4 linked regions of the Saccharomyces cerevisiae S288C genome follow. The gene in region 4 interacts genetically with the main gene of each other region. Each region holds a gene or a part of one and is shown on either strand. Other genes may lie near its edges. The genes, in order: HST3, SMT3, SDD1 and SAE2.

The links.
Region 1: mutations in SAE2 (region 4) and HST3 together harm fitness more than expected from each alone (negative genetic interaction), as found in Saccharomyces cerevisiae (5 studies listed by BioGRID).
Region 2: mutations in SAE2 (region 4) and SMT3 together harm fitness more than expected from each alone (negative genetic interaction), as found in Saccharomyces cerevisiae (3 studies listed by BioGRID, with this or other methods).
Region 3: mutations in SAE2 (region 4) and SDD1 together harm fitness more than expected from each alone (negative genetic interaction), as found in Saccharomyces cerevisiae (one large-scale study listed by BioGRID).

The regions. Positions count from the first base shown.
Region 1 is NC_001147.6:371,426-380,062, forward strand, and holds HST3 (NAD-dependent histone deacetylase HST3), read left to right. Parts: upstream 1-6,793; coding exon 6,794-8,137; downstream 8,138-8,637. Other genes in the region: MCO10 (Mco10p), read left to right, coding at 260-532; protein-arginine N-methyltransferase SFM1, read right to left, coding at 1,373-2,014; DDL1 (putative carboxylic ester hydrolase), read right to left, coding at 2,285-4,432; AHC1 (Ahc1p), read right to left, coding at 4,587-6,287; BUB3 (Bub3p), read left to right, coding at 8,356-8,637. UniProt on the Saccharomyces cerevisiae protein: NAD-dependent histone deacetylase, which contributes together with HST4 to histone H3 'Lys-56' deacetylation, regulation of telomeric silencing, proper cell cycle progression, DNA damage control, DNA recombination, and genomic maintenance.
Region 2 is NC_001136.10:1,467,707-1,475,443, forward strand, and holds SMT3 (SUMO family protein SMT3), read left to right. Parts: upstream 1-1,693; coding exon 1,694-1,999; downstream 2,000-7,737. Other genes in the region: glutamine permease GNP1, read right to left, coding at 1-738; SDH7 (Sdh7p), read left to right, coding at 2,311-2,712; EMI1 (Emi1p), read right to left, coding at 2,794-3,357; dithiol glutaredoxin GRX2, read left to right, coding at 3,311-3,742; YDR514C (uncharacterized protein), read right to left, coding at 3,842-5,293; SLF1 (Slf1p), read left to right, coding at 5,723-7,066; EMI2 (putative glucokinase), read right to left, coding at 7,268-7,737. UniProt on the Saccharomyces cerevisiae protein: Not known; suppressor of MIF2 mutations.
Region 3 is NC_001137.3:42,376-50,747, forward strand, and holds SDD1 (Sdd1p), read right to left. Parts: upstream 3,347-8,372; coding exon 2,645-3,346; downstream 1-2,644. Other genes in the region: SOM1 (Som1p), read right to left, coding at 25-249; HHY1 (Hhy1p), read left to right, coding at 277-585; phosphoacetylglucosamine mutase PCM1, read left to right, coding at 877-2,550; HAT2 (Hat2p), read left to right, coding at 4,793-5,998; POL5 (DNA-directed DNA polymerase), read right to left, coding at 6,096-8,372. UniProt on the Saccharomyces cerevisiae protein: Acts as an endogenous target of the ribosome quality control (RQC) pathway. During translation, the nascent chain has a propensity to stall ribosomes, thereby stimulating activation of the RQC pathway.
Region 4 is NC_001139.9:167,547-175,889, reverse strand, and holds SAE2 (ssDNA endodeoxyribonuclease SAE2), read left to right. Parts: upstream 1-1,567; coding exon 1,568-2,605; downstream 2,606-8,343. Other genes in the region: chromatin-binding exonuclease XRN1, read left to right, coding at 1-363; BUD13 (Bud13p), read right to left, coding at 545-1,345; YGL176C (uncharacterized protein), read left to right, coding at 2,811-4,475; MPT5 (Mpt5p), read right to left, coding at 5,319-7,895. UniProt on the Saccharomyces cerevisiae protein: Endonuclease that cooperates with the MRX complex in processing meiotic and mitotic double-strand breaks by allowing the endonucleolytic removal of SPO11 from the break sites and ensuring both resection and intrachromosomal association of the broken ends.

The sequences.
Region 1 (8,637 bases), on a different chromosome or scaffold from region 4:
TAAAAGGTATTTTCTTTACGGAAAGCCTTCGAGCAATCCAGGAGAAAGTGGACCTTTTTTTCCCAATGAAGAGATCATAGGAGTATGGATTGAAAATATAATAGAACTTCGGGTAACGAGGTGTAATTTCACAGTCCATAATACAGAGCTAACGGTTTAAGGGTAAATAGTTATCTAAGTCAAGTTTTGAAGGAACAAGTAAGAAAGGTCGCTACTGTTTCTAAACATAAGATATACAAAAATAAATATAGCTATCTCAATGGGTGCTGCATACAAAGTATTTGGGAAGACGGTTCAACCTCACGTATTGGCTATATCTACGTTTATCGCTACTGCTGCAGTGGCATCTTACTTTACCACGAAACCAAAAACCAAAAATGAAGGCAAGAATAGTTCTGCCTTGAGCCAACAAAAAAGCGGTGAAAGTTCAAACTCAGATGCTATGGGAAAGGACGATGATGTCGTAAAGAGTATTGAAGGATTTTTAAATGATTTAGAGAAAGATACGAGGCAGGATACGAAAGCCAACTGATTATGTATAAAAATTTCTGAAATGGTGGTGTTCTTCATCGTTCAGTGAAGGGATGCACTGATTTCTATAAACTTGAAGCACTTTTTGAAACTACTGTTCTATAACGAAAATTAGCGTCCTTCTTTCTATTAAGTATGCATTATACATATAATTCAATATATTCTGAATAGCAAAACGGCAATGAAAAAAAAAAAACACTGAAAATACTTGCCTTAGGCCATTGTGCATGATACGAATATGCACAAAACTTGCCTCTTTTTACTTTACGGATCAATGACAACACTCAGGTGTAAGTGATAGTTGATGGCCTTTCAATATTTGAAAGGCTGGAAGATAATTATAAAAAATCGAACTAATTGCCTATGATTGTTTCATTACTGAGACTATTTTTTCACCTCAAGGGGGTCGTCTGAATTAGCAAAGCCATGGCAACTAGTGCAGTGCTTGAAGTCACCAGCTCGTTTGGTTTTAGATGCAAGTAATGTAAAGAAATTAATTTAAATAAAATAATAAAAGTTTCTACTTTTTTTTTCAATTAAAAAGCATAATACAACCAATCAATTTTATCCTATTTGGCCTGACAATGATGATATCATAAAAGTAAACGGTTCCTTGTTTTTATTTTTCTTGCATGCACTTTTCAGAAGTCTTGGTAGCGCTACTAACGCAAAATACGAAATATTCATTGGCTAATAAACTTGATTTTTTCATTGAATGTCGTTTTTGAACTATATACAATATAATTAATGCTACGACCCTAAACTTTTCAACTAACTCTTTGACAAGGAAGCATCATCACTTATTACAACCATAGAATGTTACTTAAAGGACTGTTCTCATCTACATCAACAGATCGTCCAAACTTTGAGCAGAATCCTTCTTGATCAAATCCAACATCCCTTCAGGCAAAATAGGTTTACCTTCTTTATCTAAAACGTATCTAAATGGCATTTCCGTGGCCTCATTTTTATTGAACCTAAATTCAGGGTAGTCAATGAACTTGATGTCTTCAAATGCAATCCTGTCTTTGATAATCAACTGTGTTGTTCTTATGGCAGTATCCGTAGTCATTTGTTTATCACCTAGTCTTCTGCTAATTAAAAGATTCGGATAGGCAGTCTTTAGTTCTTTGGTACGATCTCTTGGAGGATGATCACCCAATATGCCACCAAATACGAAATAGTCGAATTTCGTAGCATCCTCCGGCTGTAAATCGATTGTAGCCCTAGGGTCCAATAGACAGACTCTGCCATCTTTTAACAGTTCCAAATCCTTGAAATCTTCGTTAATGCCCTTCAAATCCTTTGTAGTCCATCTTAAACCAAGTTTTAGTAGCCTTTGAGGGATGTCCTTTTCCGTGGTACTCTCTGGTAACGATGATAAAATCAAGTTTTCAGCTCCTACTTCTCTCAGGATTTGGCTATACTCTAAAATGACCCATTCACTAAACCCTTCCTCCATATGCTCAATAATGTACTTCATCGTATATCTAGAAATAATCTCCACAGCTGTATCAATCTATATTAACAATAGATATGCCCCTCAACATCTAATAAGCAAAGGGCATTGCTCTTTTACAATACTCGATGAGCTTACCGAAAATTTCTAATCCAAAATAACGGAAAAAATTGAAAAGGTGTCAATCCTGTTACCCGCAAGTTGAAGTACGGAAAGAATACAACCTTACACAGTGGAACTATAATAGACAGTAAAGAAAAAAGTTAAAAAAAACTTGTGCCTTGCGTTTACTGATCAACCAGTCTTTCTTTTTACATATATTTCTGATGCATTTTCATGTTTACTTAAAATTTCTTTTAGGATAAACGCTGCAATATCCGGTTCTTCGAAATAAGAAACATGTGATTTTATAGCTGATATAAAATCCACTTCTAGCAGACTTGGAGACATAGCATAATCTAGACGTCCGGTGTAATTCAAACCTGTAAGCATTCTCGTAAGATTTTCTGATAACTTGACCTCTTTTTTTTCTGGAGAAGTTTTTTTGGACTGCAAATTATTTTCATCAGTACCTGGCAAATCTTTCCATATGTTTTCGCCAAATTCCAAAACTTTAGAAGTTAGTCCATAAGCTTCACTACAATGTGGTAAATAAGTTTGTTCGTAATGAGCCATTTCTTTACTAACAAGAGGTTCCATCCTATAAGAAATGGGATCACAGACGTGGTAAACATTATAAATGTCCTTACATTGCGGTCTCTGTACGGTTAATTTTCTCTCCAAGTCATTGGGAAATTCGGGACGGTCACCAATTTTTGTTCTTTGAATTAACTTTAACAATCCAATTGGTGAGCCAATAAAGAACAGGTTGTCTACTTGAAATTCTAATTCATATTTTTTTTGTTTGGATAGAATATCAAATAATATCATACTACCCAACGAATGGCCCACTAAATGGACTTTCCCATCAAACTCTGGATTAAATTCTTTAAAAATCCGATATGTTTTGTTCAATTGAGAGGTTACTTGTTGTAGAATCATATCTTGGTAGTATGGTTCGACATACAACAAAATATCTAGTAGACCGTCAGCCAGTAGCTTCCTCAAGGGTAACACTCCATTTACTGTGACTTGTGACAAAGTCGGTAGGTCAGGATTTTCTATATTTTCCTCCTTAGCATCCGTTTGGAAACTTATCGAGTGCCTCCAGGTGATGGGTAGCACTTGAACGTTACAGTTGCTTTTATAATCAGGTGCTGTGTTTAATGATTGTAGTTTCTCAGAATTATTGTAGATTTTTTTCATATTAGACCTAAGTAGATTTACCGTGTGTGCGAAATTTACGTATTCGTACTTCTTACCCAAAGTCTGACCTATACCGTGAACGCATAGTATCAAGTTATCCACATCTCTTCTGTTACTTCTAATTTGTCTATCGCTTGCGCCCGAATTTTTGCCATCTTCTATTTTGCTACTAGCATTAGCGCCTTGACTGTTATCTGCATTGTTATAGTCTGTTTCCATTTGCTTTTCCAAGCTCTGTGCATCATCTTGATCTTTACTAGCATTACCATTGAACAACTGTAAAAAGTCCGATAAATTGAAGAGGTTTGAAACTTTCTTTTCTAACTTTGTTTCAATGCTCCTCGATTTGGAACTGTTACTACCATCTGCTACTTCCGTTTGAGGCGTTTTTGCTGCCTTAAAAGATGTGGATGTCTGTTTAGTAGTTGCGGAGGATGAATATTTGTATGATCTTGTAATCATTGTAGCATTAATCGGTAAGGATTGAGCCAGATTAGACCTTAGAAAGGCTAATTGCAGTTTTCCTCCATCTAAATCCGATAGTAAAAATGCAGTTTGTTTATTGGCAAACAAAATAAACTTGAAAGTAGATTCGTTCTCATCTTTATTGCTGGATCCATTTTTTTGCTCTCCTTCGTTTTCTTTATCGACTGGGTATTTACCTTTGAGCCTAAATATATCTTGCGATTCTGCAGGAGGTGTCGTGGTCGGATCATCATTACTGTCGTCGAATTTGAGCTGCTTATACAACCCTTCAATTTCGGAGGTAAGATCACTGGACAAAGGTTGATTTGAAGAGTCGAACCACACACCTCTTCGTACTTGATAAGTAGGGCCTTCCCAATAGGTAGGGGACAATTCCATGTGAGAGAGGTCGACTTTAAACAGGTAATCTTCGTTGACTAAAACAGGCCTGCGTTCTTGACGCTTACTGGCCTTTTCCAAACGATTAGAATCATCAACGGAGAACGGCTTAAACTTTTTGGGTGAGTGTAAAGTTTGATATGTGGGTAAATAGGGTTTGGAGTTGGGTACGTCTATGGCATAGAACCATGGTACATAAATGTGATTTAACCTTACGAAAATGTTTCTAAAACGAGTGCTGGAGGGAAGGCCTCGATGAGTAAACCGTAGCATTTCAAGTAATTGTTCACTGTGAGTATATTCAGTGATCTTCAATATTAGGGAATATGCAAAAAAATACAATCCACTTTTTCTTCCAAAGCGACAAATTAGGTCAGAAAACCAACAGAATATTATATTACGTAATTTACTTATTTATATGTGTGTACTATGTATGAGAACCACGCAGTCTTGATTTCGACCTTAGATTGTAATAAGATGATGATTTTGCTGCAGGATCAGGACCCTCAAGTTCATTAGTCAAAAGGGCCGCTTTTCTTGGTTTCTTGTCAGTGGGATTTGCTCTCAACCTTTCTCTTAAAGGTAAATCTTCCATGGGAGTAGAGCTATTCAAGCTCAGTTTTCTCTTACGCAGCAATTTTCTTTGTAAGGAGGAGGATAGCACTGGCGGAGAGGGTGGGTCCGTAGTCGTTGTTGTTGTAGCCGTTGCTGAGAGAGACGGTGATGGGACGTAAGAAGCTTCGTCATCAGATTTGGAAGATTCCTCTTCTTGCTCCTTTTGATATCTTAATTGAATTTCACGTTGCTTCAAATATTCATTCAAATCATCCGGAGTTTCATTAACCATGTCAATCAGTTTTTTGAAGTCTTCTTTATTTTGGTATAGTTTTTCTAAATGAGGAGTGTTCTTGACAGTCTTTGGAGCCCGCGTATGGTTCTCGGAGTGGTTGATTGGTGATTGTGGTTTTGGGATTGCAATGTCAGAGGGTAGGTAGTCTTTGTTTGGGTCCAAATTTAGTTTCTTGAACTTAGATAAAATTTCCGGATCCTGCTTATCATTAGGAAGTAGTTTTTGGTTGTTTAAAACTGCCAATGGTTGGCTTGAATATAGTTTAGAATGTTTTAGTCGAGTATGGTTCACGATACCTTGCGCGGAAGTGAAACCGGAACGGTCACATTTGGAGCACGTAATTATAACCAAAATGCCGTCATATCTTCTAAAAATGGGCTCATTATTTTCAGTCTTACCGATGATACCGCTATTGCTCGTCAAACAAGTGCTACTGTAATTACGTCTGTGGTTAAGATGCATCTGACTTGGTTTAAAAGGGAGTATCTGGAACCCCGGCTGCTCGTCTAAGGGGGAGATTGAGGAGGAACGAGGTGAAGAAATGCCATCCGAATTAGAGTGAGGAAGCGAGACGGGAGTGGGCTTGGTTATGGCTTCTGATAGAGATTTAGAACCTGTTAGCCTGTAATCAATTATATTCGAATTTGCCGGACGGAGGGCAGAAGGTTCTAGCAAAAGCCCGTTACTCTTGCTTCTAGTATGATAATGGTGGTGTGGTATGCGTGTTGTTGACAGATTTCTGTTGCTGCTCGAAGACAAAGGCTGACAGTTGATGTTATAATCCGATAGAACCGGGTATGACAGGTTATAATTTGATGCGTTCGTATTTTCCGTAGCCGTACTGTCGTGAAAGTGGCCGCCGAGCACGCTATGCTGCTGATGTTGTTTTATTTTGAGTTGATACGTCCGTTCGATTTTGTTCAATAGACCAGTATCCTTATGCAGGGTTTCCAAGAGAGCTAGTTTTGCGTTAACCTTTTGAACATTTCTTCGTAAGTGCCTAACATGCTTGTGGTTTAGCATTATATGTAGGTTCAAAACATTCTGTATTTCCCCTTTGGCACATTCGTACTTCAACCGCTGGGTATTTTCGCTATCCTTGTCCGGATTACTGGTGGCGGTGTCCATTTTGAAGGGCTCATCCATGTTGTTTTCCAAATCCTGAGGAGACTTTGGCGTGGTAACCTGATAAACGTTCGTCATCTTAGAGGATGACGATGAGGAAGAATTAGGATTATGATGCTGGTGCTGCAGTTTATCTTGGGCGGGACTCATCATGAGGAGATGGACATATACACAAAGTGTTGGATGAGAAGCGTGAGCCCGAAGAGTAGTGAAATGCCGAAGATCAGGGTGTTTATATGAACGAACACTAGCTTACAAATGTGGAAACGGGATCCTTCAGAGGTAAAATGCGCCTTCAGTGGCCAAAGTTCATCACCTTCCTTAGCACGGGTTCTTGCTGTCTGCTCTTCCTGCTTCTTCCCTGTTCGTTTTTCCCTCTTCCTACGGCTATGCACAGTGGCAAATGCACTGCATGTGTTTCTGTGGCGGGTATCCCTCAATTGCGGGTAACAATAAGTAACTCAACATCACGAACGACGTTTATGTTTGCTGTTACCACAAAGGGTAAAACGTCAATAAAAGCAAGCAATGTTATTCGTGCCAGAGAACTATATCTGGCGTACGTCTTATATATAACACAAGCAAGGGCAAATACGTGGTTAGTGGTGTAAAAACTGAAGGGATTAATTTACATACAACTAGATCCATCTTTCTCAAAAATGACTTCAGTATCGCCCTCGCCACCTGCCAGTCGATCGGGCTCAATGTGCTCCGACTTACCGTCCTCTTTGCAGACTGAGAAACTGGCACATATTATAGGTCTTGATGCCGACGATGAAGTTCTCCGGCGCGTAACCAAGCAGTTGAGCAGATCTAGGAGAATTGCTTGTCTGACTGGGGCAGGCATTTCGTGCAACGCGGGCATTCCTGACTTTCGCTCTTCTGATGGGCTCTACGACCTAGTGAAAAAGGATTGTTCACAGTATTGGTCTATCAAGTCCGGCAGGGAAATGTTTGATATTTCGCTATTTAGAGATGACTTCAAAATATCCATTTTTGCTAAATTTATGGAGAGGCTCTATTCAAATGTTCAATTGGCAAAGCCGACTAAGACGCACAAGTTCATTGCGCATCTAAAAGATAGGAACAAACTGCTGCGCTGTTACACGCAAAACATCGATGGGCTCGAAGAAAGCATAGGACTTACTTTATCAAATAGGAAATTACCGCTTACCTCATTTAGTTCACATTGGAAAAATCTGGATGTCGTTCAGTTGCACGGCGACCTGAAAACTCTTTCGTGTACAAAGTGCTTCCAGACTTTTCCCTGGAGCAGGTACTGGTCTCGTTGTCTAAGAAGAGGTGAGTTACCATTGTGTCCGGATTGCGAAGCACTTATCAACAAGAGATTGAATGAAGGAAAGCGAACTCTTGGTTCTAATGTGGGTATTCTAAGACCTAATATCGTCCTGTATGGTGAAAACCATCCATCCTGTGAAATTATTACGCAAGGCCTAAATCTTGACATAATTAAAGGCAATCCTGATTTTTTGATCATCATGGGTACAAGTTTGAAAGTTGATGGTGTGAAACAACTGGTAAAAAAATTAAGTAAGAAAATTCACGATCGTGGCGGCCTGATCATTCTCGTAAACAAGACACCCATTGGCGAATCCTCTTGGCACGGCATTATAGACTACCAAATCCACTCAGATTGTGATAATTGGGTCACATTTCTTGAATCCCAAATACCAGATTTCTTCAAGACGCAAGATCAAATTAAGAAGTTAAGACAGTTAAAAAGGGAGGCGAGCGACTTGAGAAAGCAAATGAAGGCCCAAAAAGACTCAATCGGAACCCCCCCAACAACCCCTCTACGAACTGCCCAGGGGATTGATATTCAAGGAAACAACGAATTGAATACAAAAATAAAGTCGTTAAACACAGTTAAGAGAAAAATACTGTCACCAGAAAACTCCAGTGAGGAAGACGAAGAGGAAAACTTGGATACAAGAAAACGCGCTAAGATACGACCAACTTTCGGTGACAACCAAGCCTCATAAACTTAACTATTAAAATTGAGTTAACGATAAATAATCGAGGCAGACACCCCTTTGCATAATATATCATCCGTTTAATTTATCTTCCATTTATATACTCATACATATACCAACGGAGATCTGCATGTCCGAGAATACAAAAAATAGTGAACGAAAAAAATATCACATCGCGAAAGAAAAGCTATCTGATATCTGCAACACGAAAACACAACAGTCGCGGCATGCAGATAGTACAAATTGAGCAGGCCCCAAAAGACTACATAAGCGACATCAAAATAATCCCTTCCAAGTCACTGCTTTTGATTACGTCTTGGGATGGCTCTTTAACAGTCTACAAATTCGACATTCAAGCAAAGAATGTTGACCTTTTACAATCGCTACGATATAAACATCCGTTATTGTGCTGCAATTTCATCGACAATACCGATCTGCAAATATACGTGGGAACTGTACAGGGTGAAATTCTAAAAGTTGATTTGATAGGTAGTCCCAGCTTCCAAGCT
Region 2 (7,737 bases), on a different chromosome or scaffold from region 4:
TTCTAGAGGACAAACACATAGCCATTGTAAGCAAAAAAGCCAAGCAACAGAAAAGCCAAGTGCAGGGTCGACCAAAAACAAAGGATATGTATTAAATCCACCAATCAAATCACTGTATATAACCGCTAATTCACCACAAGCTTGAATAATACAGTAAACACAACTACCCATAATAGCATAACCAATGATCAAACCACCCGGACCTGCATTGTTCAAAACTTTGGAGTTACCGACCAGCAAACCAGTACCAATACCAGTCCCTAGGGACATCATCACCGTATGACGGGGCTTTATACTCTTTTTCAAATTTTCTTGTTTCTGTTCTTGTTCTTGTGGTGACTGTTTAATACCATCAACAGTGATGTATGAGCTCTTCCGATTCAACTCATTGTCCAATTGAGAGCTGGAATCTTTTGTGGATATAGGAGTAGTCCCATTAGAGTTGCTCGAGTCTGGGGAATTTGCATGCGAGCCTTCCGCTCTTCTAAACGAGTCAATGAACCTCCGTAAGTAAGATGCATGATGTTCACCTTCATATTCCATATTTTCAATGGTTTTTTCCACTGTTTTTTCAAAATATTCTACTTCATTTTCCGGTTCTATAGAGCCAATTTGTTTTTCCTTTGGTTGTATTTCCTTCATCTCGTAATGGGAAACATCGTCAAGGTCGTTACGATTCATATTCATATTAGAGCTTCCCTCATTATTCCGCCCATGGCGTCTATTACCAAGCGTCATAATGTGCAATATTTGATATTATATAAGCTACTTGAGAAAGCGATAGTTTTTTTTTCTTACACAAAAAAAAAAAAACATAAAGCACCTATAACTCTCAACTTTGAAGAAGCACGAAAGGAATATGTTTAAATCAACAGAAATGTGAAAAAAATCGGTTATATATACAGAATCCGATTCTTTCTAACATCAAAGAGGTGGGGGAAGAAGGGACTCAAAAAAGAAACGACACTGCACAACCCGAGCCAAACTGACATACGAACACTAAAACCGATTTCCGAAAAAAACTTCAAATTTACATTTCATTGTCCGTCTGCCATCGCATCATCGCCTTCATCTCTAAGAGTTGCCGTGCCTTTCCATCCGCTTTCTTTTCATGCGGCGTTATTCTTTTTTCCTATTTTTGATGGTCCCTGTGCCGTTTCTTTTTCATGTTCACCGGTTTTTGGCGCCGCATACCGTACGGCGGGGCACTTTTGAAACGTTTTTGTGCATCCTGATGCCGTTTTCAAGGATCGCAAGCACGTCGCATAATACGGTAATGCCGAATTAAGGCTACGTCGTCATAGTAGGTTAGTCATGCGCGTTGGAAAAAGAAATGACCAACGCGTTGATTACGTAGTCCCCAAGGAATAATGCTTTTGAAAGTGAAAAAAAAAAATAAAACTGAAAAAAGCCATGCTGTTTCCATCACGTGCATGTCACGTTTTTGCCGCCGAACTCTTTGATCATGTGATATGAATATGTTGGGTTACCCAGCTTTGCCAACACGCGCCGTCGGAAGGTGTTCAGGAAGCAGGAAAAGAGCAAAACACCAACAATCAAACAAACGAACACATTCTACTCTTTTAGTTGATTTTTCTTACCTTTTCCAAGCTCCCGTTTCTTGTTACCACCTGTAGCATATAGGACAGAAGGACCCAGTTCAGTTCTAGTTTTACAAATAAATACACGAGCGATGTCGGACTCAGAAGTCAATCAAGAAGCTAAGCCAGAGGTCAAGCCAGAAGTCAAGCCTGAGACTCACATCAATTTAAAGGTGTCCGATGGATCTTCAGAGATCTTCTTCAAGATCAAAAAGACCACTCCTTTAAGAAGGCTGATGGAAGCGTTCGCTAAAAGACAGGGTAAGGAAATGGACTCCTTAAGATTCTTGTACGACGGTATTAGAATTCAAGCTGATCAGACCCCTGAAGATTTGGACATGGAGGATAACGATATTATTGAGGCTCACAGAGAACAGATTGGTGGTGCTACGTATTAGGACTCTTAACAATGCCTAAAAAACGCCAACAAACCTCTCCCTTCCCCCCACCCACCAAAAAATACCATAGTAATGAAAAAACTAAATAATTCATATTATATAACATAGTATTAATATATGTTCGACAAGAATAGTTTTGTCCACGCCTCTTTCCCAGCTGATGCGGAGGAAGTGCTTTTCGCCATGTTATTAACCAGTACGCTAGCTTTTGTTCTTAATTAAAGAAAAAAAACTATCTCCGTTAAATGAGCAAGTATTAAAGAAGCATTCTTTCACGACGTGCCACAGAGAACTTCCCGTCTTCATTCACCATGAACAACAAGCTCATATATCGTTCGGTTAGATTTGCAACCCATAACAGCCAGCTTTTACTTCCACCTTTGGTTCTCTACAGAAGGATACTAAGGCAGCATAAGCTGCTACCTGGTCCCCAAAGGGAGATGGGTGACCAATACGTGCGAAACGAGTTCAAGTTGCACAAAGATATCGATAACCCGTTGCATATAGTCGGCTTTTTAGCTTCCTGGCAAGATTATCTCCACATGATTTCCAACGGTAAATGGAAAGATGCCACTTTATCTTCGGAAACCCTGGAGAAACTATCCCCTGAGCAAACAGTTCAACTGTATGAATTGATGAAGGAAACACAGAAACTTCACCAAGACAATGAAATAGAATCAAGTAAGGACGTGAAGCGGAACAACAAGGATTAGTGTTCGTCTTTTTATTGCGCTTGTAAATAAGAAATCCATATACTATATAGTACACATGCTAAAAAAAAAAAGCTAAAAATCTCACTTATTTGCAGTGGTCTCCCTCTCCTGCCATATAACCCCACTGGTATTTTCCAATGCCTTATTGTTGGAAACCTGATCTTTATACCATTCCTGCACTTTCACAGGGTCATTGCCGTGGATAATACAAAACTTGAATTTGGACACCTGCTTGTCACATGATGTAAAATCTCCATATCTGTAATAGCTTCTAAATTGCCCTCCAATCGAATAGCAACTCGTCAGTTGATCAAATGCCTCTCGGCAACTCATCGTTGTCGGATATTTTGTACTCATCCTTTCCTGTTTCTTCCTCAAGCTGCTCTCTTTTACCCTAATAGAACCATCGCCTCCCTCTTGATTTATGCTAATACCACATCCAATAGCAGAACTATTACTAAGATCCGATATTTCGGCCCCCTTCGCAAAGGGGCCCGCCGCACTTTCTTCATGAATTTTCATATAAAAAGTCCCAGGACGCCAAGAAAAGGTGCCCTCTTGATTAACGGACACTCCAACTACTGTTATATATTGTTTCATGGAGACCAATTTTTCCTTCGACTCGAATTTAATTGTTATTATCATTATCACGTTGTTTGCCACAAGAATTATTGCTAAAAGATTTTTATCTACTCCAAAAATGGTATCCCAGGAAACAGTTGCTCACGTAAAGGATCTGATTGGCCAAAAGGAAGTGTTTGTTGCAGCAAAGACATACTGCCCTTACTGTAAAGCTACTTTGTCTACCCTCTTCCAAGAATTGAACGTTCCCAAATCCAAGGCCCTTGTGTTGGAATTAGATGAAATGAGCAATGGCTCAGAGATTCAAGACGCTTTAGAAGAAATCTCGGGCCAAAAAACTGTACCTAACGTATACATCAATGGCAAGCACATTGGTGGTAACAGCGATTTGGAAACTTTGAAGAAAAATGGCAAGTTAGCTGAAATATTGAAGCCGGTATTTCAATAGTTTAAATTACGCTAATATCCCCTTCATAATATTTACATATATATATCTTTTATTATCTATATCTTAAATCACATATACCTACAAAACTTCTAGCTAGATTCACACAAGAGTACTTTTGAAGGCTGCGCGTGCATTTTGAAACCAATGAGACCCGCTAAATTCCGTCTGAGGTACAAGATCCCTCGGCTTCTTTCTTCCCTTATCATCAACTTTCGGTTTGCTATTATTGGCATTCATCACACTTAGCACGTACGACATTGGCAAAATTTTGGGTTCGTCCGCCTCACGCTTAAACCATTCTCTTATCCTATATCCCATTGTTTCTAAATCATCTGCCCCAATTTGCTTTCTAAAGTTATAATCTCCTAACTTCAGCATCAGGAGCAACGTGTAATATGCATCATTGCCTGCGTTATGTAAGAAGGCATGTGGCAAGTGAAAAAGCCTTAGTAGTTTACCTAAACTGCTACCCTTCTTGCCATAACACATGCTATAAATTTTCTCTGTGTCAAGCATCTTAACATGTTTTCTAACACCTTTGCTCTCCGTTGAGTCCTCCGGTTTGGTAAGTTCATTATCCAATTCAGGTACATGGACCCCAATTTTCTTCAGCCACTTAATATCCCCCGCTATAGCATGACCCACAAACGCTCTTTCCCAGGTTGTATCTTGGTCCGTCTCACATTTCATATAGAAATTAATCAACGACTGAATGAACTCTACACATTGTTCCAATGGTAATACAAGACTTTCTCCAAGTAAAAAGCAGTCTTTAAAGTCGCATACGAATTTCTTGTTTCTTAACGGTAACGCTTCAGCAACAATTAAATGATAACTTCTTATAATCGGCATCAAGGAATAAATGTTTTCTCTTGGATCATATATGGCGATGCCAATCTCTGTAACAATGTCTGTATCAAATTCAAATGCCTCTACATCGATGGCAAAACAAATTGTCTTGTTGGATGATAATAACTCAATAGTTTTACAGAGATACTTGAACTGAGACCCACCAGGTTCACAATTCATCACAGGTATATGTTCGTTTTTTACGTCCTGTACATCTGCTAAATATTGCTTTCTTAGATTTTTCTCCACATCGTCTTTAGATGCATCAGGTATACACCCGTTTTTCTCTATCCATTTCTTGTCAATTTCTTCCAGCTTCTTATCCAGTAATTCTGAACTTTTCTCATAGATGGACCGATAGTTTGTTTCCAATGCCTTTAAATATTTTTGGATTTCACTACTTAACGCAATGTTAGGGGTATATGCAATTTCGTGCAGAGAATTAAAATGTTCAAACTCATTTATCCATGTCTTTTGTCTTCCTAGTTTATTCATCAACTTGCTACTTGAACTCTTATACAGTCCCACGCCCCCTCTTCTTGAAGGGACCATACCCCTAACTCTAGCTGCATTGCGGGTTGCCAGACTCCTGTTTAAACCTTGTGGTTGATGGTAATTGCGGACTGCTTTGGAGTTGAATCTATGCGTAACCATTTTGACTACCGCTTCGTATGCTTTCTTGCACTTTGTGGAGCTACTCATACAATAGCTTATAATCTGTGTAGTCAAACTATATACTAGGCAAATTACTAGTAAATGCAGTATTCATATGTCCTCAAACCGTTTTTTGCAGTATGTTATTGATCCATCGAATCAAAATTTTTCACCGCCAAGAGAAAAAAGATCTTACTATTTTGTGCTTATGAAAAAATTAGTAAAAGTAAAGCTGGAAGCACATACAAGCGCAGCTGAATCACAAAGGAAAATTGGCACATCCTTGGTTGACACTTGTCTATTTATTAAAAGGTTTTAAAAAGTAGTGTTCAGCAGTTCTATCATATTTTTTTATTTAAAAAAAAATACTGAGAGGAAGCGTATTGTTAAGACACAATTTAGGGTGGCGTTAAATAAACGAGAGAGCCCAAAAATATAACCAAGATAAAGAAAATCAATCATAAAGTGAATTCAAAAATGTCATCGCAAAACCTCAATGATAATCCAAAAAATACATCCTCAGCAGCTGAAGATAAGAAGAAACAAACTTCATCCTTAAAGTTGGCACCAATACCAACCACATCGCCATGGAAATCATCTTCGCCAGATAGCAATACAGTAATTCCTGTAGAGGAACTAAGAGATATATCAAAGACTGCAAAGCCAAGTAAAAATGGTTCGGGGTCAATTAAATTAACAAGCAATACCAAATGGACTCCAATTACGCCGTCTGTTATAATCTCAGGTTCCAAGGACACAAATTCAAAGTCAGGAAAGAACTCTAAAAATTCTAAGACTAATAAAAAAATGAAAAAGCGTGGCAAATATAATAACGATATCAATAAAAAGGACTTTAACGGTCAAACCAACAGTACATCGGAAATAAGTAACGTTTCCAATCTTGAATCCAAACCTTTAGATGCTAACGCTAAAGTAAACATACATTCAAGCTCAGGAGCAACTGCCAATGGGAATATAAAGAGGATAACAAACAACAACAATTCAACCAACGGTAGACAATCAAGAAATTATCAAAACAGGAATGGCAAAACAAGATACAACAACAATAGTAGACACAGTCAGGCGGCTAATAATGCCATCTCCTTCCCAAATAATTATCAGGCTAGACCTGAATATATTCCCAATGCCAGCCACTGGTTGAACAACAATTCAAGAAATAGCTATAAACAACTGTCATACTTCCGTCAACAGCAGTATTATAATAACATCAACTATCAACAACAATTGCAAACACCATATTATTACTCAATGGAACCTATTTTTAAATCTATCGAAAGTATCAAAAACCAAATTGAATTCTATTTTAGTGAAGAGAACTTGAAAACAGATGAATTTTTAAGATCTAAATTCAAAAAAGCCAATGACGGATTTATCCCCATGAGTTTGATAGGGAAATTTTACCGTATGGTTAATTTATCTCTTGGTGGAGACCCAAATTTAATTTTGGCATCTATGAGAGAAGTTTTACAACATAAAGAAACAAACCATTTGGAAATTGCCCTTGGAAGCATAGAAGGTGCTCAGAAGAACATGGCAGATGATTTCAATCCATTGGAAAACTATTTTATTAGGCGCGAAAATTGGGCTGAATACGCTATGGAAAGTAATTTTGATGAAAATGATGACGAAACTGAAAAATACAACATTGAGAAACTATTGGGACCGAACGATTTAGACAATTATTCTTATATGGGCTATCCAAACTTCTTTCCCAGTAATGAAAATGGGAAAAAGAGTCAGAGCTATGACCAAGGTGAAATTAGCAGGCAGTTTGAACAAAACTTACAAATAAATGATTAATTTTAGACAATATTTTTTTTTTTTTTTTTATTATGTATATAGTTAACATGTATAAAGTAATAGCAGATTCTCTCTAAAAATATAACATAACATTTCATTTCAATTCGTACTAAATAATTTTTTATATAACAGATACATAAGATATTTATATAGAGGAAAACGAAAACAAACTAAAAATAAGCTGTTAAGAACAGATATGTTTTATGCCACCAGAGCACACAAAGCTGCGCCAACACCGGACCCATCTTTGGCTAGACGCAAATGTATCTTACGTTCACCCTCAGTGCCAATTGGACTTAATGCCAAAGCATGTCTCAGCATGGATCTGAATCCAGGATAGTATTCGATGACATAACCGTCAAAACCAATTTCTACCTCACCGTGATATCTTTTGTTCAAAGCGTTTGTCTTGATTAGGATGGCGGCAATCGGAACGGCTGCTAGATATGCAGACCTTCTCGTAATGGAACGGACCAGATTTTGAATTGCTTTACGTTCTTCAAAAGTGGTCGGTAGCCTCAAACTCTGCAAAAACGACAATTCAGTTTCACGCAAGTTTGTCGAATCATCGATTTCAATCCTGGAAAGAACTTCACTGCACAATTGGAAAGGAGTCTTTAAACGGTGAGGTAATTGATCGTAATTACGATACTGTCCCAAGATTAAGCCCC
Region 3 (8,372 bases), on a different chromosome or scaffold from region 4:
TGCTATATAGAGTATATGTAATTTTTAACTATTGGTATATGTGTCCGTGACCTCGTAGTTAGTGGCTGATTTGTCGGGTGCAATGCAGTGTTCAAAAAGCCTCTTAAAAGGCGAGCAGACGTATTCGGCTCCTTTGAATTGGCACTCCCATTGCACAAGCTCTTTCAGCCGGCAGTTGGTTTGTGAGTCAAGCGTTGCTAACGGTGCGAGCGCTTGGTCCCTAGTGCGGATGGTGGTTGGAGGCGCCATGAGGGTTGATTGTCTTATCTGCGATAGATGAGTCTTTCTTTCCTTCTCTTTTCCCCTTTTCTCCCCCCCTGTTTCTCGTCCATCTCTATCTGTCTATCTGTCTTATCTACTGTTAGTTTTTTTTTCGCTTTCACGATACCGCATTACGTACTGCGCTGCGGAAGTGTGGATGAGTGGCATATACACTCTTCTGCAGAGGATTTTCGTACACAACGGTGTGTGTGTGCTGTGAAGCTGTCTGCTTCCTTACTTGGCTGTTTGCTTGCTTGTGCGTCATGGTCACTTTTGTTAGAAGTGAGCCGCATAAAATGGCATGTCGGCACAGCCTACAGTTAAAAATTAAGCATATCTGACTGTTTATCTGTTTATCTGTTTATACACGGTGAACTGTCACGAGAACCCTTACTTGCACGATTAGCAGATTGTTCAGAGAGCCTCGCTCGTTGAAGTTCTTCTATATGCCAGCGTGTTTCATGTAGCAGGAAACGTTGCTCTATTTATATCTTTTCTGACATTTTGCGTCGTCGGGAAAAAAAAGATTAAGTAAGAACAAAAAACCGTTAATGGTTTCAGCAATCGAGACAAGTACAAGGACCAAGGCAAAGGTCAGCAGTAAGCTTAGAGACGATGAAGGTTGATTACGAGCAATTGTGCAAACTCTACGATGACACGTGCCGCACAAAGAATGTGCAGTTCAGTTACGGTACGGCCGGATTCAGAACGCTGGCCAAGAATTTGGATACGGTGATGTTCAGTACTGGTATACTGGCGGTTCTCAGGTCGCTGAAGCTTCAGGGTCAGTATGTGGGGGTGATGATCACGGCGTCGCACAACCCATACCAGGACAACGGGGTCAAGATCGTGGAACCAGACGGATCGATGCTTTTGGCCACATGGGAGCCATATGCCATGCAGTTGGCCAATGCGGCCTCTTTTGCCACTAATTTTGAAGAATTTCGTGTTGAGTTGGCCAAGCTGATTGAACACGAAAAGATTGATTTGAATACAACCGTCGTGCCTCACATCGTGGTTGGGAGAGACTCTAGGGAAAGTAGTCCATACTTGCTGCGCTGCTTGACTTCCTCCATGGCCAGCGTCTTCCACGCGCAAGTTTTGGACCTAGGCTGTGTCACTACGCCTCAATTGCATTACATTACTGATTTGTCCAACAGGCGGAAACTGGAAGGAGACACAGCGCCAGTTGCCACAGAACAGGACTACTATTCGTTCTTTATAGGAGCCTTCAACGAGCTCTTCGCCACGTATCAGCTGGAGAAGAGGCTGTCTGTCCCAAAATTGTTCATAGACACAGCCAATGGTATCGGTGGTCCACAGTTGAAAAAACTACTGGCCTCCGAAGATTGGGACGTGCCAGCGGAGCAAGTTGAGGTAATCAACGACAGGTCCGATGTTCCAGAACTGTTGAATTTTGAATGCGGTGCGGATTATGTGAAGACTAACCAGAGATTACCCAAGGGTCTTTCTCCATCCTCGTTTGATTCGCTATATTGCTCCTTTGATGGTGACGCAGACAGGGTTGTGTTCTACTATGTCGACTCAGGATCAAAATTTCATTTGTTGGATGGTGACAAAATTTCCACTTTGTTTGCAAAGTTCTTGTCTAAACAACTAGAATTGGCACACCTAGAACATTCTTTGAAGATTGGTGTTGTGCAAACTGCCTATGCAAACGGCAGTTCCACCGCTTACATAAAAAATACGTTGCACTGTCCCGTGTCTTGCACTAAGACAGGTGTTAAACACTTGCATCATGAAGCTGCCACTCAGTACGATATTGGCATTTATTTCGAAGCAAATGGACATGGTACGATTATATTCAGCGAAAAATTTCATCGAACTATCAAATCTGAATTATCCAAGTCCAAGTTAAATGGTGATACGTTAGCTTTGAGAACTTTGAAGTGTTTCTCTGAATTGATTAATCAGACCGTGGGAGATGCTATTTCAGACATGCTTGCTGTCCTTGCTACTTTGGCGATTTTGAAAATGTCGCCAATGGATTGGGATGAAGAGTATACTGATTTGCCCAACAAGCTGGTTAAGTGCATCGTTCCTGATAGGTCAATTTTCCAAACCACGGACCAGGAAAGAAAATTGCTCAATCCAGTGGGGTTGCAAGACAAGATAGATCTTGTGGTAGCCAAGTATCCCATGGGAAGAAGCTTTGTCAGAGCCAGTGGTACGGAGGATGCGGTGAGGGTTTATGCGGAATGTAAGGACTCCTCTAAGTTAGGTCAATTTTGTGACGAAGTGGTGGAGCACGTTAAGGCATCTGCTTGAAAGCATTATTCGATGTATAGTATAGCTATTTAGATATACAGAGAGATAAATGAAAGAGAAAAAATATTGGTATCAATCAACGTTTGTTACAGGCTTAGACTTTGGTTTGGTAATTGAAATTCATGGTAGTGGAAATAAACAAAATTTTCCTCTTCAATTTTTTTCGTCGTTTCGCTCTGCAATCGAAAATCAAATAATCTTCATAAAAGAAATCACTTTCAATAAATGAACTTCTCACTACCATAATGGATGATGTGGCCGATTCGAAAGCAATACGGTTGATTAACACGGAAACCCCGAGTGATAAGTCACCAAAAAAAATTCTCTTTACGATGAATGTTCCGAATTTGTTCTCCTCTTTACAGTTTTCGTTGGAAAGGTATTTATATGTAATTTCCTTCAGAATTCTCTTGTTTTCTATGTTGGCATTGTCGAGATGAACCTGTTTCAGTATGGCATTGGGAAAAAGTGTAGCTTGTAACTTTAAAACTTGATCATGCAGTGTTGCAGCTAAATTATCCAGAGTAAAAATTTCCTCTTTGGAGTAAATGCCTAGCAAGTTTTTCAGCTGACTACTCCAACCTCGCCTGGCCCTGTGCTTTCTACTTACACAATCTTTGTGATTTGGTGGTAAGGTTTTTGGAAAATGAGGAAGAGTATCTAGTTGTTGGGTAATGTTTCTTTCCAAGAATGATATTTTTTTCATTATGACGTCAATTTCTTTAGAATAAGCCGAGAACTGTACAGTTTTAAAACCCTTTCTGTTGTCATTCCTCTGAATCCCATCATTTGCCATTTAATTTTCAATTTAGTTACTAGTCAATTTTCTTTTTCGCCTTTTGTATTCCATAATATGAATATAAGCTTGGGCTTGCCGATTTTCTCCGCTTAATATTAAGCCTACGCATGATGTAGGTTACATTTTGAAGGGTTTCTTTTAACTTCCTTACTTATTTATATATGTATGAACCTACACAAGGCATTTTACCCTTATTTCTTCCCGCAACATTTGATAAAAAGTGGAAGACGTTTGTGATTGTTATTATCGCCCCAATTTTCTCCTTTTTTTCTTTTCCTTCAACGTCAATCAATTGCACATTCAGCCGATTGGCTTTCTTAGCGCAGGATAGGGTGTCGGGGATACCTGTGGGAAGTTAGTGACACTTTTTTTTCCACTCTCTTCATGGAATCCCCGGACGGCAGCCGCCCGTCCCAATTTTGGCAAAATTGACATCCTAACTGCACGAATTCTCATCGCGTATCAGAACTCTTGAGCCTTCAGTTTTACTACTCAATGCTCTGATTTATCTATATATACATAAATGAAAATAATACGTGCGCATTTATAAGACAAAAAGTTAGAATTCTGACCACGATTGCATGCTGTAGATAATTGTCGTGTTCATTCTCTCTTTAACGGCGCCTCAAGAAGAATATAAAATAATTGCTCTTGCAGTCTCAATGAGTCGGTATGTTCAAAGTGGTGCCCAACATTTACTAATATTGGACTGCGGTACAAAATCGGCGGCTAAACTGTCTACCGATAAAATACTCTTGATTTATAAGAATGAAAAAGAAAACAAAAAGGGATGACCCCTGAAAAAGTTTGTTTTCTTTACCCTTTTTTATGTTAAATTTTACATTTATTACCGTTTACGTCAATCGCAATATACAGGTGGGGCATTGTTATTTGATTTCATAATCTGGTGAGAACGTTATCACGCGGATTATTTAGTTTTTTTAAACCATGTGCGAAGAAATTCTCATATATTGTAGGCATTTCTGACTCAAACTTCTGCTGCTTAAAATAGCTGTTTTCACCTTTTTTTTCCTCTTGTTCTATTTGACATGCTCCCTTTCTTCCTCGGTCCTTTCAACCATTTCCATGCTCCTGTAGGCTCAGGAGCAGAGCGAGGAAAAAACTTCCCTACAGAAAGCTTTCATGTTTTTAACCGGTTTCCTTTCAGCTTTTTCTTTTGGAGTAATCTAGAAAGATTAGGTCATTTGTTCAGTCTATTTGATACTTGATGAGTAGCTCGTCTGTTCTGTTCAAAATAACAATTTGTGAGGTGTACGGATGTTTTCACTGGCATTCGTCGACATGACAAAGACAAACCTTGAAAATAATAATGGAGAATAACTAGAAAGACGTTACTATGCCTCTAATACTTCTGCCTCTCTTATCTCTCCTATCAATTGTGGTTAGCCTAGTAGTCACCAAATAGCAAATTACCAATCAACTATGGAAAACCAAGAGAAACCGCTTTCTGTAGACGAGGAGTACGATTTATGGAAATCCAATGTTCCATTAATGTATGACTTTGTTAGCGAGACACGTTTAACATGGCCATCTTTAACCGTCCAATGGCTCCCTACTCCTGTTCAAGAATTAGATGGTGGCTTTATTAAACAAGAATTAATCATCGGTACGCACACTTCTGGTGAAGAAGAAAACTATTTGAAATTCGCAGAAATTAATCTACCAAAGGAAATTCTTAGTAATGAAGACCCACAAGAAGAAGCAGGAGAGGAGTATCAGTCCTCTCTACCTGCTCCTAGGTCAAATATAAGGATTACCGCTAAATATGAGCACGAAGAAGAAATCACTAGAGCCCGATATATGCCTCAAGACCCTAATATTGTCGCCACAATAAATGGGCAAGGCACAGTTTTCCTCTATTCTCGCTCAGAAGGTCTTCAGTCAACACTAAAATTTCATAAGGATAACGGTTATGCTTTATCATTTAGCACTTTGGTCAAAGGGCGATTGCTTTCCGGCTCAGATGATCATACAGTCGCTCTCTGGGAAGTGGGGAGTGGCGGTGACCCTACAAAACCAGTACGAACTTGGAATGATTTACATTCTGATATTATTAATGATAATAAATGGCACAACTTCAATAAAGATCTATTCGGCACTGTTTCAGAAGATTCTCTCTTAAAAATAAATGACGTCAGGGCAAACAATACTACGATCGATACTGTGAAATGCCCGCAACCTTTCAACACATTAGCATTTAGTCATCATTCCTCAAACCTCCTTGCGGCCGCAGGTATGGACTCGTATGTTTATCTATATGATCTAAGAAACATGAAGGAACCATTACACCATATGTCGGGTCATGAAGATGCAGTGAACAATTTGGAATTTTCAACCCATGTTGACGGTGTAGTTGTATCCAGCGGGTCAGACAATAGATTGATGATGTGGGATTTGAAACAAATTGGAGCAGAACAAACACCTGATGACGCGGAAGACGGCGTTCCTGAATTGATCATGGTCCACGCAGGTCACAGAAGTTCAGTGAATGATTTTGATTTGAACCCTCAAATACCTTGGTTGGTAGCAAGTGCTGAAGAAGAAAATATTTTACAAGTTTGGAAGTGTTCCCATAGTCTACCCATCGTGGGAGGTCCACCAAAGGTGAACAAGGATATAATAAGCTAATATATAGTTTTTTTATTGTTTCTTTGGCGAAAAGGCGTAATTAAACAAAGATCAACATACATAATCCGATTTTGAGGAGTGATAAAATATACTTAGATTATTCCTTATCCATTACAGTTTGCTTTTTTGAAGATAGCCAATTGATGAAATCAATAAAAATGTTAGGTCCACATTTTCCTTTTTGCATCCACTCTTTGGTAGTTGCAGTATACAAGTCAATCAATTCGTCAAGCTTGTCGTTACCACCGATTTCAACGTATAACTTACTCAAAAACAGTGAGCTGGTTGAGCACATTGAATAAAACACTGCAGCATGCTGACCTGGCTTAGAAGTCAGCATCAGCTTGTGTGTTTTTTTCAACAAATCCATAAGCTCGATGTCTTTGTTCATGTCTTTGAATGCAGTTACTTTTATCTTGAATATTTTACCCTTCAACAATTTAGAAATTTTGTCGGCAAGTGGCCTATCAAGAGTTTCATTGACACATTTCAGCATTGGGATAATAAAATAAACGAGCTTGCTTAATGAGCCTCCTAAATTGTTGGAATGTTCACTTTTATTAGCAAGAGTCAATTTTTCACAATATTTGACGTAAACGGCTAACATGTCGACAACTCTATGCTTGAACGAGATAACGTTTTCCCTAGATTGTTTTACCTCAAATTTCCTCTGGTTTCCAGTAGATATGCTTGATAATGCTTCCTTACGACGTTTGAAAATTTCGGATAACTGATCATCTAATTCCATCATTTTTTCATCATCCATAGACTCCTCATCTTCATCGTCTCCACCGTCGTCAGAAAGCCCTTCGAGTTGGTCTAAGTCAACTTCCCCTTTATCATTAACTATGTTATCGGGTAAATTTAACGCCTTCACTAAGGCGCTAGTGGCCTCTTTATCAATATTCAAAATATCTTCATTTGCCTCGTCTTCTTCATCTTTTTCATCAGCATCATCGCTATCACTCTCACTTTCACTTTCACTTTCACTACCAGTTTTCGATTCGTCTTCACTGGCATCATTTTCTTCCTTAATTTCTTCAAATTCTTCTTCTCCTTCGAATAGCTGGGCAAAACCTTGCTTGTTTTCTCTCGCTTTTAAAATATCTAATAAAATTTGCAATTCTTCCAAACCAACTTCTTCAATAAACTGCTGCCAGATTATTAAACTCAATTTCCTGAGTAAGGCCTTCTTTTGGGCTAAAAGTGATAGTAAGATTTCAGTGATGCCTACCATTGAGTTATTCTCGTGTTTGGAAAATTCGCAAAGTTCTTCGATCACAGAAATAGAATCGGTGTCACCTGCATATAATTGTACTAAGCACATAGATAACAACGTGCTTAGACCCCAAGATTGAGCAGTTCTTGATCTGCAAACTTTACTCAAGCAAGATATAGCTTCGTTTTTTATATTTTCTAAATTTTCGTCCAGTGGATTGATTAAATCTCCTACATGAGAATTTTCAATGTCCAGTATTAACTTTAATGTCAGATATTGCCATGAGTTTATTTCAGGATCTTTGCAACGTATTTCTTTGTTTATTGTCAACTCTCCCAGGATGGAATAAAGTCTTTCCTTGGCTAATTCGTGTAGCTGTTCTAACTTCAGATCATCTGATGTATGTTTGAAGAAAGCCATATATACGATGGGTCTCAACACGGGCTTCATTATGTCCATGTCATTGATTTCGACTTTGTGTGCACGAACTATATGAAGGATGGAATCAAGAGCAAAAAGGGTATGAGATAAAACTCCCTTTTTATCTTGTAACTGTAGAAAAAACACATCGAGTAATTGGGCAAGAACAGTAGAAGGTAATTCTTTAATTGCAATAAGTTTGGAAACGGTGCCAGATTTTGTTAACTTATCAAAGTTTATGGAACCGTGAGGACCAAATAACATTGCATTTAAACAAGGTACTAGTCTGTTTGCAGAATCTTCTTCACAAGCCTTCACTATGGAGTCTAAAGTTAACTGGGAAATCTTATTTAAAACTCTTTGTGAATCTATTGATTGGTTGATCAATGTTCTCATAACGTTTTGGCTGAAGCAAAACCCGATGTACGAGCCAGGAACTGCCTTGAAAGCCGCGTCGATTATTAGAAAGCCTAAATATTTTCTTTCACTAGAAGCTTTCTCATTGAAAAATGATTCGTCCACGGCCATTTTCCAAAACTCTGGAAATTGAATTGAATTCTGAACCTTTTTATTGTTGGTTTTCTTCCTTTTCTTCGAAATATGACTAGTGTTCTCTAATTTTCCATTACCAAACAACGGTAGCAGAACACTCCAAACAAAATGCAGCCTAGGGTTCCAATTCGTGTTTTTTTGTTTTTTCGTCTCTTTTAAACCTCCATTGGCATCCGGAATTAC
Region 4 (8,343 bases):
CCTAATGGTCTTCACCCATTACACCCTCACCAGATGCCTTACCCTAATATGAATGGAATGTCTATTCCGCCACCAGCACCACATGGGTTTGGACAACCGATTTCCTTCCCACCTCCACCTCCTATGACAAATGTTTCAGATCAAGGAAGTCGTATTGTTGTCAATGAAAAGGAAAGCCAAGATTTGAAAAAATTCATTAATGGTAAACAGCACAGCAATGGTTCAACTATTGGGGGAGAAACAAAGAACAGTAGGAAAGGCGAGATTAAACCTTCTTCTGGCACAAACTCTACTGAATGTCAATCGCCAAAGTCACAAAGCAATGCTGCTGACCGTGATAATAAAAAAGACGAATCTACTTAGAACATACGACTAAAAACGAAGTATATTCGAGGTTACTTTAATAGTATATCTGAGACCTATATAAAGAGGGGTATTTGTATTTAATCGTTGATCTTGTTAAGAAAAAGCTTATAACAAATGGGGATTGTCAAAGGGTATTTTTTACACAAAGCTTTCCGCATAGTTATATATTATCTCATTTTCAATAATCCTCCTGTAGGGTGTAGCTTTGCACTTTCTTCTCATTGATCTCATTTTGCTTAGCAAACCATTTTTCTTCAAAGCCATTTGATCTGTGGACACCGTCCCATCTTGACCCAGGCATAATGGCAAACCTGTTCTCAGGTGCTGGCTTATCATAAAGCTTGCGGCCCAGTAAAGATGTTTTTACAGTTCTTTCTTTGTCATGTGTAAATGTTATTGCAGGGTCTTCTATCGTCAGACTCGAGGCAGTTTGATTTTTCTTCTTATCATGTGCATCTACATTTATTCCAAGCTTTTGCACGTCTCCCATATTCAAATTTTTCAGGTATTGCTCTCTTTCCGCGGCTTTCTCATCTTCATATTTAGATCGACTAAAACTAGAATCGTCTATCTTGGAATCTTCCTGAATCTTGTGACCTTGAGCGTCTCTGTATATGGTTTTTCGTGTTTTCGATTTGTCTGCTACTGTGACAAGTGGCTCTTGAGCCCTGATTTCCTTTAGATCGTTCTTGCTTTCGTTGCCAGTAATTGACGATGCGGAAGGATGTGTTATTGCATGGGAAAGCTCGTTTGTTTCCAGGTTCTTCCATATATTCTTGCTTTTTTGTTTGTCAAACTTGCTGAATGAAGCAACTCCTGACTTCTCCTGTTCTTGTTGCAGTGTACTTAGCCGTTCTTTTACTATCAAAGAAGTTTTGTCTGAGTTAGCGTCTGATTTTGACTCTTTCTTCTTCTTTTTCGTCTTATTTTTGGGTTTCGTGGGCCCATAAGTCTCTGATAAATACTGATGCAATGCCATGTAATAAACGTCCTGTTGTTATCTTCCACCATTCGAGTCTTGAGAACAACTTTCAAAATCAAGTCAAATAGCCATTTTCTTTATGCCATTTTCTAAGCGCGTTCTACAAAAAAAAAGCTTTTAAGCTTTAATACCTTTTTTGTTTACGTTTGCAAACATTGTTATCGTTCACATACCTGCATTTCCATCCATGCTGTAAGCCATTAGGTGTTTGTATGTGAGATGGTGACTGGTGAAGAAAATGTGTATCTAAAGTCAAGCTTATCCATTCTCAAGGAGCTCAGTCTCGATGAACTACTAAATGTGCAGTATGACGTGACTACCTTAATCGCGAAACGTGTTCAAGCACTGCAAAATCGGAATAAATGTGTTCTCGAAGAACCTAACAGTAAACTGGCTGAAATTCTATGTCACGAAAAAAATGCTCCTCAACAATCCTCTCAGACGTCTGCGGGGCCAGGTGAGCAAGATTCTGAAGATTTCATCCTTACTCAGTTTGATGAGGACATAAAGAAAGAATCAGCAGAGGTTCACTATCGTAATGAAAATAAACACACTGTGCAGTTACCGCTGGTTACTATGCCACCTAATAGGCATAAACGGAAAATTTCGGAGTTTAGTTCGCCTTTAAATGGCCTCAACAACTTAAGCGATTTGGAAGATTGCTCTGATACTGTAATCCACGAAAAAGATAATGATAAAGAGAACAAAACAAGAAAACTATTGGGAATAGAGCTCGAGAACCCTGAATCTACATCGCCAAATTTATACAAAAATGTTAAGGATAATTTCCTGTTTGACTTCAATACGAACCCTTTAACAAAGCGAGCCTGGATTCTCGAAGACTTTAGACCAAATGAAGATATCGCCCCGGTTAAGAGAGGAAGAAGAAAATTGGAGCGATTTTATGCCCAAGTTGGAAAGCCAGAGGATTCTAAACACAGATCATTGTCAGTAGTTATAGAATCGCAAAATTCGGACTACGAATTTGCGTTTGATAACTTGAGGAATAGATCAAAATCCCCCCCAGGTTTTGGAAGACTGGATTTTCCCTCCACTCAGGAAGGGAACGAGGACAAAAAGAAATCCCAGGAAATCATCAGAAGAAAGACAAAATATAGGTTTTTAATGGCAAGCAATAACAAGATCCCACCGTACGAGAGAGAATATGTATTCAAAAGAGAACAATTAAATCAAATTGTTGACGATGGATGTTTCTTCTGGAGTGATAAATTATTGCAGATATATGCTAGATGTTAAACGCCAGCGATCATCATTCTTTATTCATTACTTCAAATACATTTTTTTTGGTATGGTTGAAAGGGCTTTTTTCCTCGTTGGCATATGGGAAAAACTGAAAAATAAAAAAAGGCAATGAGATGAACAACAATGGAAAACAAAAAAGGGCGAATAAATAAGCAGCAGTTGGTAAAGCAGAAAGGGGAAGTTAACGGACGTTAAACAAATGACACCTAACTTACCAGGGTTTTATTATGATAGAGAACGTCGACGTTATTTTCGCATATCTGAAAATCAAAGCATTTCTACCACGGGAACGACGAACCAGTACAGAAAAGATAATATAAAGCGACAATGTGTTGAGGAAAATTACGATAAAAAATTTTCTATGATTAAAAAAAAACGTCAGCAAACATTACAAAAGTACAAGCTTAGTCTTCTGAATCCGTTGGAAAGGGCTTTTCGCCCTTTATCATATGAAAAGTACATGATTGGTTTAAATATGCAGTATGCATCGCATTCTCTCACTGAAGGTCATCACTCACATAGTTCTGCTAACGTAAAATCACTCAATTTTCCACACAGGATACAGATAGGAGTATTAGCAAATTGTATTTTATTGGTAACTCAAGAAGGATGTTTTCATAGTAAATTAGTATTTGCAACAAACAAGGGCTATGTCGCAGGATTTTCATCCCTGGATAATTTTTCTGAAGAAAATTTCTTTACGGGGTTTTCCATGGCTGAATTAAATCCTATGTTGAAATATAAGTCCGAGCCAACTGATGTGTTCAAAACAATGAAACTTGAGAGAACAGTTGCCATCAAGGAAGGGCCGAGCCATTATTTTTATCACAACGTTAATACCAGATCTAACGTGCATACTTTTGCCATCTTTTTACAAGACTTTTCTTCCTTAAAACTGCTCAAAATTCGTCAGGTCAAACTCAAAGAAAATTGCCAAGTCCATGATTCTCTTGTTGTTGGAGACACGTTGATTATTACCGTAAATTATCGTTGTCATTTTTATGATTTGATTCCAGAAACCTTTCCAAATCCCTATATCTTTTCTCCTGCCAAAAGCTCAAGAAAACACAAAAGTAGGAGTGACATTACTTCCCTATCATTTTGTCTACAAGAAGATGCTTTATCACCTTTAAAAAAAACGAACACCGGTGTGTTTTATTTAGGTTACAGAAATGGTGATTCAATGGCAATAGTCTTCACTAATATTACAAACATGACATTACAGTACTCCAAGACCAACGGTATGACATCAGAAAGTCGAAATCAACCTATCAGAAATTCCCTAAAATCTGTTGTTTCCATAAAAGCATTGAATAATAAAGGCCTAATACTTATATCTGGAATGGCAGACAAAGAGAATGTGCAACAACTGGTTATAGCAGATACGTTCCTGGAGGACATTCTGACCGAAATCCCGGTTGTATCTTTTAAAACTAAGTTCTTAAACGTGACTAAGGATACAGAAATACTCGAGATATCGGATGACGGGCGCTACTTCATTTATGGTTCAACTAGCGCTAGGGACGGAAAGGGTGATTTTGAAGTATTTTGTACCACTTTATCTGGAAATCTTGACTACGAAAAATCCGAAGGTGGAAATATCACCCTCTATCCAATAGGAGGTATGAAGAACTACTGTAGGTTAGAAAACTTCCAGTTTGAATCTATCCACCTACATTCGGCTTTCATACCCCCAAGGTACGTAAATCCGTTTGATGCTGTGGAACCTCTAGGTGAAGAGAGCAGTACTTCACCTTACGATATACCTGAAGAAGCACTTTCTCAAAAAATATGCATCTTAATTCGGAGAGAAGATGATCCCTACAATGGGGCCAATATCTTCATAACATCTGCTTTGACCTAGTTTAGCCCACCGAGATTTTTGCTTTATAAATATTTTAGCATACTTTGCATTCATATACATATTCATATGTATAAATATTCTTTAAATTTTAACGCCGACTTCGAACTAATTAGCAGTCAAAACCCAAATGTAATGACCTTATGGTGTTATAGCATAATTCTTCTTGGTGTACAATTCCATTCTGAATAGTTCAACGATTTTAGATATAGTTAGATATGATATTATAATAAAATATACAAATATGTATCATTGTTAGTACAAGTTAAACCTAAATATAATAAAGCCAACCAAGACAGGAACCAGTAGAAAAATTTATACAAATGACAAAGAAAAACAAACGGTATTTTCCTATTTATTAAAAATGCTTGAGCGAATGGATATTTTAACACATTAGTGTCCTAAAGGACAATTGGATTTGAAAATAAAATGACAGTAATAGACAAAAAGAAAACTGAATGAATGAATGGACGTATGGATTGCTTAATGAATGAATGAATTAAATAATAGTTGGGCGTAAGTTCAGAAGATGAGGAATTTAAAACAAAAATAATCGTTGACAAAAAACGATTCAAAAAAAAATTAGATCATTTTGGTAGGGAGCAATGCTAACCCTGCAAAGGCAGTGGGAGGATTTTGGATACGTGTTCGGAAACAGAATACAAAATATAAAGATGGCAATAGTTTGCTTTACCATTTTTTTCCGGCTCAAATTTTGGGACTTTAGTAGGACGTCATTGCTTAGTTGAATTTTTTATTTTTTATTTTTTATTTTTCTTTTGTCTTTGATTTCTGCGTAAAATATTTGTACAGTAAGAAGGAAAGAAAAAGAAAGAAAAAAAAGTATTATGGCAAAGTGAATTGAAGTTCATCAGATGTTCTAGCGGTATTCATGGCAGGCATATTGGAAATACTAGCGTTGCGGCTCATATTAACTTGATTATATGGGCCTTGACCAATATGCTGCGACTTCATTGACAAACTTGAATCCCAGTTTGCACCTTCCGTTTGATATTGCATACGAGGCACAAAAGATTCATTGAAGTTTTGACTATTTGCATTAGAGTATGGCGAGAAGTGATTAGCATTAATTTTGTCGGTTTCATTCATCATAAATCCAGGCTGCTTAAATCCCCTTGAAACATTAGGATTCACATTGGTAATGTTAGATGATGAGAACGAATGGATTGGTGCAGCAGAATTAGGATGTGCCATTAAATTTGCAAACTGGCGGTTGTCGAAGTTTTGTAACGAGTTATGGCTTACCAATGGTGGGTTAGTTTGAGAATTGAAAGAAGGTGCTCCCATCGAGGGATATGCGTTTTGGTTGAAGTTCATAATTTGTTGCGGAGAGTGAATTTTCTGATCTTGTGCATATTGGTTTGAGAAATTATTGGTTACAGAGCTGTTACTTCTTCTATGGTAAGCATTAGCTGGTAAAGAAAAATGACGGGTATGACTCTTTTGATTATTATTGTTATTATTATTGTGAGCATGGTTATGATTATGATTATGATTATGATTATGACTATTTTTGTTATGGGGGTTCTTATTTTCGTTGTTAATCGTTTGAAGATTGTTATGACTCATTGCAGTGACTTGAGGAGATATGTCAGTGAATGGTATACCTGTGGCTTCTGCATAAGCTTTAACTTTCAACTTAATTTTCTTTGCATAGGATGTAGTTTTAATACTTGGAAGTAATTCTTTTGTAAGGACAATCAAGTTACCAATTTTCAATGAAAAATCGTTACAAAAGTTACCGTAATTCAATGTACTAGAGCTGTTTTGCCCAATTGCGTTACTATTTTTGTTGTAAGCAAGCAGAGGAGAATAATTCTTAACGTCTAATAGCGTTTGTAACGCATAATTACCAAAATTATCCCTGATTAGCACATTTAAATTGACTGTGAATATATCAATGGTAGTCAAAAGAATGTTCATAGAAGCATTAATCACGTCATCAGAAGCAACTGCAGTCCTTTGGGAGGCACCCCCATTGTTATTAACAATAAATCCAGTAATGATTCTAAATAATTTTTTAATGAATTTTTCCACAACATTTGAGGAGAACTTCAAACAAGATAGTTGACATAATTCATTGGATAAACGGTTAAATAACTCAGCCAATAAGTAAAAGTCCAATTCTTTGATATCTAACAGAAATTGGATGATATAATTACCGAACTGATCGTTGATTAATCCAGGAAGGAACTGCACAATTTTCACAGAAATTTTGAAAATTTGTTGTAGAGTACAAACGCTTAGTAATTTTTGTAGTACGCAACAACCATGTTTATGGGTAGAAATGGTAATGATATTATTTTGTTCTACAATAGCATCTATGATGAAACCAAATTTTGATGGCGAGAATTTGAAAATACACTTTTGAATCACATGGTTACCATTAAGATCGTTTATCAAAGTAACCACTTGCTCAATCGAAGTAAATTCTTGGGAAAATCCCTTAATAATGAGATCGATTTGAACTTCGTTATCGACAGTGTCTATAATTTTCTGTAAGGAACGAGTTCCGTACTGATTGATTGATATTTGGAAAACATTTGGATATATTGTTTGTATTAATAATGTCTTTTGCTCGGCAGTTAAATAATCGCATAGTTTTTGAACCAAATAGTTACCGAACGGATCCAAAATAAGGTCCAAGAAAAATGGCTTAATTTGTTCATACATCAAGTCTCTCACCATATTGGATTCACTGGGGGTTTCTAATTTTTTTTGAAGAAAACGGCAGCCAAACTGGTCAGTGGCAAGTTTGATATAATCCAGATCTCTAAGGGGTAGTGCGCTGATTTCGACCATAGATGAAGACGTTGAGCTACTCAAACCAAATGACGAATTATCCACTCCACATTTGGAAGCAGCATTATTACTATTGCTAAAATTTCTGAGAGATGCAGCAGGAGTCACTGAAGAGGATGGTGTTTCCATAATTAAACTGGAGGTATTGACACCAGAGTTCGAAGGAGCAACAACCGTGAAATCGTGGCTTGATTTTCTCCTGGGACCATCCATTTCCAGATCAAACTCATTGATTAATGGTAGAATGGCTGGAGGATTTGCCATTGAGGCTGAAAGCCCAGTGGAGTTGCTAGCAGCATTAGGATTCGGGGAAAAAGAGTTAGCAGAATTCGATGTTGATGTATTATTCATCAAAGCCAAGGGAGATTGTGTCGATGATATGAACTGATTAAAACCAGAGAGATCAAGCGAATGAGCCTTTTGATGGTTTCTTTTGTTATTCATCTGGCCCAAAGGCGGAGGGGTCACGGGCTCCAAGAGTGATTGGACGGAGTTAATAGATAGTTGAGGCTGATGATTGTAAGACATTAAGGAGTTATTTGATGTAGACGTAGTTAAAATCGATGCTGAGTCGGCAGATGGAAATGGTTCGTTATTGATCTGATTGAATAAAAGAATGTTGTGTTAGTAAAGTGAAACCACAAAAATAAGGCGTGTGCAGAGCCGATTTTGGAGTATAAGCCTAGGATCAATTTCGATAACTGAGAAAGAGAACAATCACAACCATGTACAGTGTCCAGGTGGCCTGAGATGCGTGAGAATCAAGAGTAAATCTATCTATAAAGTTCGACTTCAATGGCGACAGAGGATGGCAAAAAAAGAGGACAGGAAAAGAGGAAGACAAAACACAAAATTTATGCTTGATTTTAGAATGAAACCTATAACCATAAAGAGTAAAATCCTTATAACTCTCAACGAATCTGCATAAATTTTTCATAGATCTTCGAATCTTTTCTTTTTTTTTTTTTTTTTGCTCATTTTTGCCTGAGGCGCCTCTTTCCCGAAGCCCTTCTTTCGAGAAAATCCTTATAGGCATATTCGAGAAATA